2 linked regions of the Diceros bicornis minor genome follow. The protein of the gene in region 1 purifies or fractionates together with the protein of each later gene. This does not show direct contact. Links are inferred from orthologs where the notes say so. Each region holds a gene or a part of one and is shown on either strand. Other genes may lie near its edges.

What was found. The genes of interacting proteins can lie anywhere in the genome.
Region 2: the proteins of RFC5 (region 1) and ATAD5 purify together in Homo sapiens (affinity purification with mass spectrometry; 4 studies listed by BioGRID and IntAct, counting the BioPlex papers as one, with this or other methods). This does not show direct contact. The link is inferred for Diceros bicornis minor from reciprocal best matches to the Homo sapiens genes RFC5 and ATAD5.

The regions. Positions count from the first base shown.
Region 1 is NC_080774.1:15,032,439-15,039,599, reverse strand, and holds the start of RFC5 (replication factor C subunit 5), read right to left. Parts: upstream 3,087-7,161; 5' UTR 2,997-3,086; coding exon 2,926-2,996; intron 1,471-2,925; coding exon 1,406-1,470; intron 865-1,405; coding exon 728-864; intron 1-727. UniProt on the Homo sapiens protein: Subunit of the replication factor C (RFC) complex which acts during elongation of primed DNA templates by DNA polymerases delta and epsilon, and is necessary for ATP-dependent loading of proliferating cell nuclear antigen (PCNA) onto primed DNA.
Region 2 is NC_080757.1:21,094,909-21,102,729, reverse strand, and holds the start of ATAD5 (ATPase family AAA domain-containing protein 5), read right to left. Parts: upstream 3,108-7,821; 5' UTR 2,745-3,107; coding exon 2,679-2,744; intron 1-2,678. UniProt on the Homo sapiens protein: Has an important role in DNA replication and in maintaining genome integrity during replication stress.

The DNA of each region.
Region 1 (7,161 bases):
TGGTGCGCGACTGGGATCCGAACCTGCGAACCCCCAGCTGCCGAAGCGGAGCAACTGAACTTAACCACTATGCCATCAGGCCGGCCCAGGAAGAGATATTTTAAAAGGTGTTGGTGGGGTGTGGGGAAACCACAAGGGCTATGTGATACCTCAGGGACTACTGGGGCCCATTACCACCCCCAGGTCTTATGGGGTCAGGGGCAGGACTGATATTGGCACCTGGGGAGGGCTGTGTGATGCGCCCTGCAGGTGGGGATGCCGCCAGCCTGTAGTGACCCCCAGGGCAGGACCCGGCATTAGTCTCCTTCCCCTGACCCCTGCCAAGGCCTCTACTGGCCAAACCCAACCAGGAGCCAGCGGGCAAGGGAGCTTGTAGTCAACACAGCTCAGCTGCCCGGGGCAAGGACAGGGCGGAGAGACGTGGAGAAGCTACCGGGAGGCGCACATGGGAAACAGCCAGCAACTGACAGACCACCAAGTGTTTGGGTAAAAGGTGGCAACAGCAAAAAAAAGAAAAATAAAAAACAAAGCCTAGCCCTACAACTGCCCTGTCGCTAATGCCAATCCAGACAATTATAGAAAAAAGTGAACTGAAATATCTTATGTTATGTCTGCTTCTTTCCCAACTGCCAGTAGGGCAAATGACTTTTAAAGTAAAAGGAAACTAGCAGAACTAAAAGTAAGAGGCTGGCGTCCTTGATAGACTAAGAATAATCTTGTTATTTACCTCTAAGACCATGGAGCCGAATTCTTTCTCTTTGTACAGCTGTTTAGCACAGGCTAGGATGGTGGACGTCTTTCCTGTCCCTGGAGGACCATAGAGAAGCAGGTGCGGCAGCCGATCTTCACTGATAAATTTGTGAACTGAGGATTGGGAAGAAAAAGAAACACCGTCAGTCTCTGCGAGTTGCCTCATTCACTGTGGGCCCTACGAGTTGGGCTGAATGCACTTCAGCCCTATGTTCAAACCAGAGGCAGGTGCAGGAATGAAAAATGGGAAGCACTCAATTCTTTTCTTTTGAGGAAGATTGGCCCTGCTCTAACATCTGTTGCCAACTTTCCTCTTTTTCTTTTTTCTCCCCAAAGCCCCAGTACATAGTTGTATATCACAGTTGTCGAGTTGTAGCTCTCTCTATGTGGGACGCTGCCTCAGCATGGCTTGATGAGCAGTGAGTAGGTCCGCGCCCAGGATCCGAACCAGCAATGCCAGCCGCCAAGGGGAATGTGACACACGAACTTAACCGCTGCGCCACAGGCCAGCCCCTTAAGGACTCAAGTTTTAAAGCCACATTCCATAAAGCTCAATCAGATTCTTCACAGTTATTACTCAGTAGAGACAACATCACCAGGAAATGTATACAGGTCCTTCGGCTAGAATAACAGCAGCTGTCACCTGGATACTTACTGGTACTCAAAATGTCCTGATGAGAAATAAGATCATTCAGTGTCTGCGGCCGGTATTTCTCAACCCTAAAATACAATTTAGCAAGGATTACAACATACATAAATTAAAGAACATTTTGGTATGTGCAAAAGAATCCTTTCATATCCTCACTAAAAGAGGAAGAGGAATAAAACCCTTTAGGTTTGAATTTAAACCAGTGGTTCTCAACCAGGGGTGATTTTATCCTCCAGGGAACATTTGGCAATATCTAGAGACATTTTCCATTGTCACAACTGGGTGGATGCTCCTGGCATCTAGTGGATAGGCCCCAGGGACGTTGCTAAACATCCTACAATGCACAGGACAGCCCCGATGCCCTCCCCCCGACAAAGTATCTGGCCCAAAATGTCAGTAATTTCTAATTTCACCTTTCCAGCTGTCTGCCTATAATCTCAACCTGGATGGGCAACTATTATTTCAAAGTGAATTCAAAATTGAACTTGTACCCAAATATACATCAACAGATGAATGAATAAATAAATGGTAGTATATCCATATGATGGACAGTGAAAACATTATGCTGAGTCAAAGAAGCCAGTTAGTTACAAAAGGCCATATATTATATGATTCAATTTATAGGAAACGTCCAGAATAGGCAAATCCATAGAGACAGAAAGCAGATTAGTGGTTGCCAGGAGGCGCTAAGGGAGGGAGGAATGGGGAGTGACTGTCAATGGGTATGGGGTTTCCATTTGGGATGATGAAAATTTTTGAAATTGAGATATTGGGATGGTTGCACAACTTTATGCAATTGAATTGTACACTTTAAAATGGTTACAACTGTAAATTGTATGTTATGTGTTTTAACCACGATAAAAACAAACTGAACTCGTTATTAGACAAGAACAACTTGGAGTTTTCCGACAGCAAGCCAAATCCCATCCAAGTCTTTAAAGCATCACTAGGATAGCTATGGAAGTAGGATGGTTAAGAGTGCAAGCTCTGAATCCAGACCTCCTGGGTTCAAACCCAAGCCTATTTTCTAGCTCTGGACCTCAGCCAAGGCATTTAATCTTTAAGACACAGTTTCCTCAAGTGTAAAACTGGAATAATGACAGTATCTACCTCCCATGGTCTTTGTAAAGATCAAACATCTAATAGGGTGCCTGCTAATCTAATAGAAAGCCGTTTAAATAAGTTAACTAGGGAGCGTTATTATTATTATCATCATTATTTTACTTAAGATTTTGGCAAGAGGGAATGACGTTTTGGCACAGAGGCCAATGCAATGTCAAAAGACGCGGGATCGACCCCTTGTGCAGATGCGTGCGAAAGCCGCTTTCCTCTTCGGGCAAAGGAATCGGTGGGTGGGGAACCCGGCAAAAGTCCTAAATAGAACGGAGCGGGGTGGGGTGTCGAGATGAACCTCTGTGGCTCCGCCCCGGCCGCAGGTCCGGGGGCAGCGGGCCCGGCCACTTGCCCAGCTGGGCCACCGCCTCCCCGCGCGGCCCAGCCCCTTTCCCGGCAGCCGGGCCTCCTACCAGGGCAGGTTCCTGATCTTGGCCGCCGCGGGCTGCTGCTGCTGCTGCTGCTTGTGTACGGAGGTCTCCATGGCGGGGAGACGAGGGTGACCAGGTCCGCTGGGGTCGTCGCGACCCCCAAGGGACCTGCTCAGCGACCAGCGCGATCCAGCGCAGGGACCCTAACAGAGTTCGCGCGCAAACGTAACTCTCGCGAGAGTTAGCCGCCTGCTTCCGACTTCCTCCCTTGGTCCCGCCCCCTTTCCGTTGCTAAGGCGCAGGTTGCCAGGTTACCGGGAGGCGCCGGCCGCCACCCTCCCTCCGGCTCCGCCCTTCTAGCCGGTGCTGCCCTCTCTGCCGCGCCAAGGGGCTTCCCGAGCCCAGGGAGAGGGGGCGAGGCGAGGCCACCCCCTGCAGCCGCCAGTCATCACAAATTAAAGTCTCACGGCCGAAGCCCAGTCCAGCCATCACCAAAGTTCAAACACCGTTCAAAGGAACAGAAAGCTGCCAGCGCTAAAGAATCCTTAGGAAAAAACAACCCCAAATGACACGGCCAATACTTGAAGATGGATGCCCGTTTGAAGAAAAGGCTCACAATACCTTTTGGCCCCCAACCTGGTAGTAATTCGAATTCAAAAACAACTCCAAACAAACGCAACTCCAATCCGTCTCCCAAATCCGCGTCCCTCACCCAACAAAATGTAGAGAACCATCCTCCAGAAACAACTCCAGAGTGAAAACAAAAAATAAACTTCCAGTTAGGTTAATACGGTAACCGGAAAGCGCTAGTTAATAAGCACAGAGGACGCGTCCCTCGGATCTGAAGATACTGAGGAGCATCGGTCTCAAAATCCTAGTGTTTTTCTGAGGTGAGGGGATTATAGACCACTTTATTTTCTCCTATTTGGCTGATCTGTGTTTCCCGGCAATGAGTGTGTGTTACATCCATAATAAAGTTTTTGTTTTTGTTTTTTAACATGTTGGGAAAGACAACAATACTGGGAGGAGATGAGGCTGCCTTGGGGTCAGAAGTGTTCTGATTCAGAAGTCGCAGCTCCTTGCGTCTTATTATTATCACTGTCACCTGCTTTAGGAACAGAGTAGAGGGACACTGGGGAAATACATGAGGGCAGTTATGGCTTCACCCTAGCCCCTGCCTGGGGACCGAGAAGAAGGAGGTGAGATGTGGCTTGTGGTATGACAGTGCCCTATTCTCTGCTTCCTCCCAGGCCAACTCCGACACTCGTTTTTCAGATCCTTAGCATGCCTCTTCCCCCCCCCCCCCCCAGCCTTGGGCGGGTTACTTCTCTCCTCATCCAATAACATCTGCTCCAAGATGGTTGTGAGGATGAAATGAAATAACATACGTAAAGCTTCCAATGCACTGCCACCTCACTCTCTCCTTCCCTTCGAACATACTCTCCACCATCCTGTTCTTGTTCCAAATGTTCCCTCCCAAACAAAATCTAAAGAATTGGCTGGTGTGACTATGCCTGTGAGGGTTAATTTTATGTGTCAACTTGACCGGGCTAAGGGATGCCCAGAGAGATGGTAAAATATTATTTTTGGAGGTGTGTCCCTAAGGGTCTTTCTGGAAGAGATTGGCATTTGAATTGGTAGACCGAGCAAAGGAGATCCCCCTCATCAATGCCGGTGGGCACCATCCAATCCATTGAGGTCCTGAATAGAACAAAAAGGCAGAGGAAGGGTGAATTTGCTCCCTTTTGGAGCTGAGACATCCATCTTCTCCTGCCTTTGAACATCGAACATCGGCACTCTTGATTTCCAGTCATCTGGATTCAGACTGAATTATACCACCAGCTTTCCTGGGTCTTCAGCTTGAAGATGGCAGATCATGGGACTGCTCAGCCTCCATAATTCCGTGAGCCAATTCCTATGATATATACACCTTATATAAATATCTATACAAATATGAATATATAAAATATATTAAAAATATTAAATATATATTTATTATATAAATATATTATTAATATAATATATATTTATTGTATAATACATAATATAAAATATATTTTAAAATCTACATAAATATAAGTATAAATATAAATTTTGTGTATCTATATATTCTATTGGTTCTGTTTCTCTGGAGAACCCTGACTAAAAATGCCATTACCTGGGCTTTATTCAACTACCCTGGTAAGAGCCATCCTGCTAAGGGGCCTTTGCATTAGAAACATGATGTTGCCACCTCCTTGAGCTAGAAGATATGAACAGACTGGACCAAGTTCTCATAAAACTCTGTGTGCACCTGCTGTTCAGTTTGCGGGCAATGCAGAATTCTTCTGTGGGACATTATATTATATATTTACAAGTTCGTCTATTGTGTGCCTCCCCCACGGACTGTAACCTCATTGAGAGGTGAGGCTTTCACTTATTCACCACTGGACTCCTGGTGTCTGGAATACTGCCTGGCTCAAAGGAAGCACTCAATAAGTCTTCCATGAATGAGTGAATGATAATAGCTACTATTCATTAGGCAGCTACTATGGGCCAGACACTGTTGTAAGTCCTTTACATTTATTATACTCACTCAATTGTTGCGATAGTTCCAAGCTATATCACTGGCCCCATTTCATAGATATATTAGGTAACTTGCCCACATTCTGACTTGGTGTAAGGGACAGAACTGGATCTTATCAAGACAGTGTGATTCTATAGCCCAAGCTCTTAGCCCAGTGCTAGTGTGGTCCCTGCACCAGCAGCAGCAGCCCCTGGGAACTTGTTAGAAATGTTAATTATTCTTCTCCCCACCCCAAACCCATTGAATCTGAAACTCTGGGGGTGGGCCCAGTCATCTGTGTTGTAACAAGCCCTCCAGGGGATTCTGATGCGCTCAAGTTTGAGAACCACTGTCCTACCCTCTACTGCTTCTCAATCCGTGAGCTCCCTATGACTTCACTTTCTAAGAAAAAGAAAGGATACTCACATGCATTTTTCTGGAAAAACAAAGGTGTCCTATTAAATGTCATTTGTATGCGTGTGGTTTTGTTTGTTTCTGTTTTTGCTATTAATTGAAGGTATAGTCCTTTGGGCAAGTTACTTAATATCTCTTTGGACCTCAGTATTGGCACTTCTAAAATGGGCAGGGGCACGGGGCTTGACTAGAGAGAGGGATGGCATTAAAAGCACCTGAGGATTTTAAACAAGTCCAATGCCAGAAGTCCAGCCAGACAAATTAAATTTGGCCTGTGGGGTGGGACCGGGCACTGGCATTTTAAAAAGCTTCCCAGGTGATTCTAACATTCAGCGAAAGTTTAACTACTGTCCTGGACGAAGCCAATCACAGCAACCCTAGTCCCCTGATTGGCTTAAAGGGTGAGCATGTGACCCAGTTCTGCCCAATGAGATGTGAGGGGTAATGGTGGGGGGGAGGCGCCTCTGGGACGCTTTTCTCGTTACTTTGCAGAGCCTTGCGCTAGATGGTCCTTAGCTTCTCTCCCAGTGCCAAAGTTCTGTTACTTTAAAGAGAAAGCGAGAGATAAAGCCTGGAGTTACAGGCTCATATGTCTATAAATAGTCTGAAAGTTAATATATAAAGGAAGAGGGTTCGGTGGAAATTATGCCCTGCCTCGAGGGGGCGGAGTTTGTAGATGGAAGATTTAAGCAGAAAAGGAATGTAGCGACGAAATATTGGATAGCTCATAATTAGTAGGAAGGCTGGAGAACCTGGTTTGGAAAATGGGACAAAGACAGGCCATGGAACTGAAACCATGGTCAGAATTACTCCATGGAACCATCCAGTAAGGAAACTGCTGCTGCCGACCTTTCCGTGCTACTACTCCTAGAAACCGAGTGTTGGTTTCACCGTTTCTACTGTGAGAAGGAATTTGCCAGTTCTCTCCTGTACTGGATTCTTCCTAAAACTAGTGCTCCATTAAGAGCATGCCTAATTGGCCAGGCCTGGGTCACCTGCTAGCGCGTACCAGTCTACAGCTTGAATGGTGGGAAATGACGTCTTCCTCCCACCAGGACTTGTGACCTGGGACATCCCTAAACTTAGGATGGGGGCTCAGATGCTGACAGCCGAAAGGATCACACATGTCCACTACAAGAGTGTTCAATCAGAAGGGACAGTAGCCAAATGTTGCCAGATCTTCTGATTTTTCAAGAGAAACCAGAAATTTGGATTTTTATGTGCAATTCCTGTATGTTAAACAATGGCAACTAATTTAAAAAACTCCTGGCCAAGTGATCACGGTAGGATCACTTTATGACTTGATTTCTCAAGGACAG
Region 2 (7,821 bases), on another chromosome or scaffold:
TGCCTCCTCCATTATTTATTATCCTCACAATGTCAAGATGACTATAATGCTAAAAAGTTACATTTTTGTTGGGTCATAAATTAGTAACTTACATATGTCAACTTAAAAAGCAAATTTGCCTGTTATTTTATCCTCAGAACAAGTTTATTCAGGAATAGCCAAAACAATTGCAACTGGGGATGTGCAGGCTACGGCAAACCATAGGCAAATCCAGAAAACAAAGGAAGGGAGTTGCCTTTATAGAGAAAAAGAGGGAGTAGGGACGGGCTGTTCTAAATGAAAGTCAATTGGGGGAAAGAAACAGTTCAGGGAGCAATTGGCTTCTCACTGGCTGAGACGCCGTGTTTCTCACTGGCTGAGGCTGTTGCCCAGTGGGGAGAGAAATTTTCCCGCAATAGTAAAGTAGTTTTACATCCTGTCAAAGATGCAAGCCAGGGTCTTTTTCTGGTTGGTGTAATTGACAATATATAATAGGGCATGAGAGCTCCCCCTTCAGGCCTTCCAACTCCAATTTGGTGGTTTCTCTTATTCATTCCCACATATAACAGAAAAAGCTTATTAGTTACAAAAAGCTCTATCAGTGTTTTCTTTAATTTTAACTTCCCTCAGTTCATTTGTTAGAATAAACTTGCCAGAATAACAAGGAAATTTTTCAAAAGATAAGTAATGAGGGGCCTGCTCAGTGGCATAGCACTTAAGTTTGTGAGCTCCGCTTTGGAGGCCCAGGGTTCCCAGGTTCGGATGCTGGGTGCAGACCGATGCACTGCTTGTGAAGCCATGCTGTGGCGGCATCCTATATAAAGCAGAAGAAGATGGGCATGGATGTTAGCCCAGGGCCAATCTTCCTCAGCAAAAAGAGGAGGATTGGCAAGGGATATTAGCTCAGGGCTAATCTTCCTCACACACACACACAAAAAAAAGATAAGTAATGAATGGGAGAATTATACTTCCAGAAAATGAAAACATATTATAAAGCTATCATGATTAAAAGCATAGTACTGATGCATGAATATGGAGACAATTTAATGGAATGGATTAGAAAACCAGAAAAAGACATAAGTATATATTTAAGAACTAGGTGTATGATAACAGTACCATTCAAGTTAGTGGGCAAAGAAGTAGTTAATAAATGGTATTGGGGCACATTTCTAACCATTTGGATAAATATAAGGCAAAATAAATTACAGACAGATTAAAATTTTATATGTTAAGATGAAATGGTAAAGGTATTACAAGAAAATGCTAATGAGTTAGCGTTATTATTATTACCCTGAGATGGTGTCAGAGGCACTATACCATAGGCTCTGGAGTCAGGCAGATCTAAGTTCAAGTGATAGCTCTGACATCTACCAGTGTAGGACCTTAAGTAAATTACTTTTTTTTTTTTAATAATTTTATTTATTTATTTTTCCCCCAAAGCCCCAGTAGATAGTTGTATGTCATAGCTGCACATTCTTCTAGTTGCTGTATGTGGGACGCGGCCTCAGCATGGCCGGAGAAGCGGTGTGTCGGTGCGCGCCCGGGATCCGAACCCGGGCCGCCAGCAGCGGAGCGCGCGCACTTAACCGCTAAGCCACGGGGCCGGCCCAGTAAGTTACTTTTAACTTTATAATTTACTTTTCCTAACTTAATTTACTTTTAATTAATTTTTAAACTTCCTCTCTCATCTGTAGAATATAGATAATAATACCTCATCACAGAGTTGATATTAAGTAAAATAATGTGTATAAGGCCTTTATCCTTACAAGAGTAAACAGTATTATTACTGTGAAATAGGTTCTCTAAGCAAGGCACCAAAAGCAGAAACTGTAACGAAAAGATTGATAAAACTGACAAAAATCAAGAACTGTGTAATTCAAGTACCAAAAGTCCTTCTTCACACCTGACACAAGCTGAGCAACTGCCTTGATTTAGGAAGCAAGTATCAACATAACAACTATTAGCAAGAAGACAAAAGTTACTCAATTCTAAAAAATAAGAATGAGCCCAGTTAAATAAGTGGACATACATCTTGGTTCGCTTCAAGGACACCAGTATGCATACTTCAGTTAGAATCCTAGTTTGAGATGAAAAGGTATAAAAATATAGCAATCGTCTACTTTAAGATGCCACTTCACTACTTCATGGCATTAGAATCCCTTTATAAATACTGCTTAGTGCATTTCACTGAAACTTGATGAACACAGGCAAATAACAGCAGACTCCTAACTGCAGTATCTTAAGCTCTGGAGCCGTGAGAAAATGATTTTTCAATTAAGTACCTTGGTTGATTCCTGAAATGACAATCTAAACGGTATTCCTAGAATAGGTAGATGGATGGACTAGTGGAACTTAAAGATTCTTTTCAACGCTAAAGTTCTATGATCCCTTATCATGAACCCAGACTTGACCCTGGGATCCTCCATGACATTCCGCAAGTACAAAACATCAAGTTCCACCAACATTTCAGGGTCTGGGCACTGGTCGAGATATCTTAAATCCTGATTTACCTGGCCCCGCAAACATCTCACAATCCCAATGTTTGTCAGGACCTATCACTTTCAGAAAAGACACTCCAGCAACTGGTCCACACAATGTCACAACTGTGGGGCCTCATCATGTCCCTCCTTTCCCCTCATAGATCCAAAGTCGGGATCACCTTTCTCCCACCCCCAACAGACGGAGATACTCAAGCTCACCTCAATCTCGTAGTCCTTCACCGGAGGGGGAGCAGCTGCCGCCGCCATGGCCAAGACCCCCACCATAATCCCTGCTTCCCGGAATCCCGGCTCCTAGGACCTTGCGCGGCCCGGGCCGGCCTGCCTGGAGGCCATGGAGGCGGCCGGCTCCTGCAAAGGCGAGGAGCTGGGCCGCGGGGTCGGTCTCGGACTCCCCCTCGGCCACCCGCCCGGAGCGGTGGCGGAGGCTGGGCCCAGTTCAGCCGAGTCGAACGCGGGAAGAGGCGGTGAGAAAGCGCGGGCAGCGAGGACCCTGGGGCGCGGCCGGTGAGCGCGGGTGTCCCCGAGGCGGGCGCTCCAGGCTGAGCGCTCGGGACTGGGGCTCCCGTGGGGAAAGCAGGCCGAACGTAGATCGGACCCACCGGCTTCGGAAGGAGTTCTTGTCAATTGGGTTTTCGCGCCGTCCTGAGCGCAGGGGGCGGAGCTCAGGGTTGCTTCCGGAGGCTCTCCGGACGGCAAGCCGAGAGGGCCATAATAGTTCTTTGGCGAACCTACAGGAGGCGGGATTGCTTCACCGTGGAATTTAAAACTAGCGGGGGTTTTGGAGATTTGGACTTTTCACGCCCAGTTTCACGGATGAGGACGTGATTTGACGAAAGTCACTTGGTGGCAGAATTAAAGCCCTAGACTTTTGACGCACCAGGCTAGCTCCTATTTAAAAGTGGAAATTTGAAAAATACAGAAAAGGAAATAATGTTTACATTCCTCCCACATGGAATAAATGTTATTTTGACAAGCGTCCTGCCTCGAGATATGCCCATTCGTGGTCCGAGATTTCGACTTTTTACCCTTAACTGAGCTAAGGGGCATTTCTTCCCATGGATTTCGTCCTCGCGAGCAGATAGGAGCGCGAGGTCCTTGGCTCAGCTGGTTGGTGTGGGTTGAGTCGTCGCAGGATACCAATAGTTTGCTGGTTTGTAGTAATAATCTCATACGTCATTTGCATGGTTTTCATGAATTTAACTTTTACTATTTTTTTACGTTAAAGTTGCAATTACATAAATATAAAGTATGTTTATTTTGTTTGAGTGCATAGTTTTAACTGCATGGTATGCAAGAGCTGAAACAAGGCAGGTAAAAGAACATATCAAATAATAACAGGAAGCCACCGTGTTAGGTCGGGTTACGCAAACTAATTTTAACTATTGATGTCATTGTGTCCATCTTTTTGGTATTTGCTATTGTCTTGACAACATAAAGGGTACAAATTTCTCCAGTGAAATTAGTGGTAATTACTTTTTCTTTGAAAATTGTTGGCCCTTGGATAGGTTTTCCGGGAAGGGAGACTGCACTACCTTCAGTCTTCTAAGTATACACTCTTTCTTTCTTTCTCTTTCCTGCGGAAGATTGCCCTGAGCTAACATCTGTTGGCAATCTTCCTCTTTTTTTGCTTGAGAAAGATTAGCCCTGAGCTAACATCTGTGCCAGTCTTCCTCCACTTTATATGTGGCTCGCTGCCACAAGCATGGCTGACAGAGTGGTGTAGGTCTGCTCCTGGGATCCGAACTTGTGAACCCCGGGCCAGTGGAGCACGAACTTAACCACTAGGCCAGGGGGCCGGACCCTGGTTTGGGTTTTTTATAACTAAATATGGGAGACATTCTTGATGGCTGATAAATAGTATTTCATTTATTTGTAGAAAATGTAGGATGCTTTGCATTGACTCTCTGGAAGTTCCTGGAAGGCAAGGTTGATGTTGCTGAGCTACCAAGGTTGGTTCTGGATGTATGGGTACTTCCTCAGAAATATACTTTAAAAGCTCCTTCCCTAGATATGTTACCTTACTCCAAGCATAATTCCAGGTCACATAACTGTCACCTCCTAGAAGATCATTGAGCCAGGTGAGTGGATTTTGATAAATCTGGCCATTTTCTACCATAATTTTACCACTCAATAGAACTCTGGCTTTGTGGGTGGTTTCAGTTGTCCCAGCTCACTGCGGTCAGAGAGTTTCTGGGTCATGGTGCAGGGAGTGGGAATCCAGGCAAAGCCTGTGGACTCCCTGAGTTGAGGAGACAGAGCAGAGTCCAGGGAGACAAAGCAGCTAGAGTTTGCAGGACAGAGTACTGAAGAAGAGAGAAATACACACAGAGAGAATGCTCAGACTCATTTTTCTCAGACTCATTAGTGGGCTCATCTATAGAACAATCAGGAGATGAGCTGGCATTTTCGTTGAGGAACTTGCCAATGTTAATAGGTGAGGTCTTTTATCTGGGACCATTCAGCTTCTCCTCCAATCTCTTTGGGGGCAGGGGTGGTTACATCTCATGAAGTTGGGTGGAAGCAATGGGGAGAGGTCACCTAAATGTATGGAATAGGGCACTGGACCTGGAGTACATAACTCTAATTTTAACTGTCTCCTTTTTTTCATTCCCATACTTCACTGCCATGTGCTATGCTATTCATCCATCCATCCATCCATCCATCCATTTGTTCCATAAATACTATTGATTGCCTGATATGTGCCAGCTAGAACAAAGCAGCTGTAAAAAAAACTGACAAAATCCCTATCCTCTTAGAGTTTATATTCATTTTAGAAGAGACATATAATAAAAATGATAAGTGAAATAAATGGCAAGAGGTATAAATGCTGAGGAGAAAATAATGCAGGAAGTAGGATAAGGAAAGAAATGTCAGGACAGGGGTTGCAAATTTTTTTTAAGTGACTAAAATTTTAAAAGGATGTATCTGAGGCCTGCTAGCCTGAGTTTCTCAGAAGTCTTCAGGGAGAGTTGGCCCAATTCTGAATGGTTCCCCCTCTGCAGTTTAGGATGTAACTTCCATCAGTTGGCTAGAGCAATGACTACTCCTCCATCCACTTTCCATCTTCCAAAAATTTGTGGAACTCTGTAGTGTTCTTTTATGTTCTCTACTCTTCTACTTGGCCTTAATCCAGTTTTAAATTAATTGTTTAATTAATCCAGTTTTAAATAAATTAATTGTTATTTTGAAGGGGTTTTGGAAGGGAAAAGAGAAAAGCACATGTGGCCAACCCAAGAAGACGCTTAAGACTCAGATCAGGGTTCACCTTCTCCAAGAAACTGTCCCTGATACCTTTTTCCTTCCACTTTGCCTTAGGCTGGATTAGGTTGCAGGTTTCTGTGCTTCTACTCATTGCACTCACTGCATTATATTATAAATTCCTGCTTATGTGTGTGTGTGTTTCCCCCATTGGACTATGAAGGCAAGTCCTAGGTCTCATTCCTGTTTTGATTCCCAGCACCTAGCACAAAGCCAGATACATACTTGTAGTCTTTAAACTTTTTGTAAATTAATGTGTGCTGTTACATGGCCATATTATTCAGCCTTTACGCCAGCCCTGTGGAAGACATTTACATTATTGTCAACTTACAGAAGTAGAAACTGTAGCTCAGAGATATTTCCAAAGTTAGTGTTTAACCAAGTCTCCAACTTCAACTTCTGTGCTTTTTTTCAATGACACACTGTAGTCAGTACATGGAGAAAAGGTGGACTATGTCATTTTCTCTCCAATATTATATCCCCTTCTCTTGATAACCATCACTGTTGTTATTCTGGTATCTACACTTCCCCTACTTGGCCCACATATTGGGGAAAGCTAATTCCACCCCTGGCTCTGGATCCACCTAAACTAATCTGCATAATTCCACCTCCTGGCCACAGTCAGTTATTGGTTCAAAGGTGGGCACGTGACCTAGTTTGGGCCAAGAAGACAAGTGAAGAGATATTCTGGGTGCCTCTGGGAGATAAGCATGTTCGCACTACTGATATACGTCCAGGAAGGAGTTCTACTGGTTCCAGAAGGTGTATAAAATTAAACAGCCTTAAAATAAGGTAATGGTGGTAGAGAAGAGAGTTAGGAAGTCTGACCTTTGAATCAAACTAACCCTAAAGTTGGTATTAGCCAATGAATCCCCTTTATAGTTTAAGATAGTTTGAGTTGGGTTTTCTGTAACTTGAACTGAAGGTATCATAAAGGATACAAGAGGAAAGGAAGGCAAAGGAAAGGAAGGAAAACTAGGGAGACTCAAGATATAATTGATCTATATAAAAGATGTAAATATGTACTAAAGATATTTAGGAACATTCTGAATAATTCAAGAGGCCATTGAGATAAACTCAGGAAAGACTGACAAAACAAACTGTATGACCATATGTATATTCTCAGCCTTGCCCCTCAATCCCCCAACCTACCAACGAAGGGGAATTTTGCCCTCACCTCCTCATCTGCAAGTTGTCTTCAACCTGGCTCCCTGGCTTCTGTCATACAGAATTGAGAGAAAGGACTGAAGAGGCAGGTGGGAAGGGGAAAGCTGGGTATCGGGTTTGCATTGAGTAGGGAGGAAGGGATTGAGGGAGAAACTCCAGAGCACCAGTGGGGAATAAGAGAATGGGTATGGAGAAGAGGATATTAAGAAGAGTTTCTGTGACTTATGGAGACTGTCAGGAGATACAACAACTCAGTGCAATATATGATTCTGGACTGGATCCATTTGCCATAGCAGGCATCATTGTGACAAGTGATTAAACTTGAATGGAGATCTGAGGATTAGATGGTAATAAAGTATCAATGTTAAATTCCTGGTTTTGATGTTTTGATGGTTGCTTTGTTAGTTTGCAGGAGAATGTACCTGTAGGATGTTAGCAACTTACTCTCAAATGGAAAAATAATTTTTTGCACTGTATCTGCAACTTCTCTGTAAGTTTGAGATTTCTGTAAATTTGAGTTTTCAAAATTAAAAAAATATATGGCATTAATAAAAATTTTTAAGAGGCACAAGTCAAGGTTAGTGTTATCTCTCTTTTTTTTTTTTTTTGTGAGGAAGATCACGCCTGAGCTAACATCTGTGCTAATCCTCCTCTTTTTTGCTGAGGAAGACCAGCTCTGAGCTAACATCTATTGCCAATCCGCCTCCTTTTTTTTTTTCCCCCCAAAGCCCCGGTAGATAGTTGTATGTCATAGTTGCACATCCTTCTAGTTGCTGTATGTGGGATGCGGCCTCAGCATGGCCAGAAAAGTGGTGCGTTGGTGCGCGCCCGGGATCCAAACCGGGGCTGCCAGTAGCGGAGCGCGCGCACTTAACCGCTAAGCCACTGGGCTGGCCCTTAGTATTATCTCTTAATT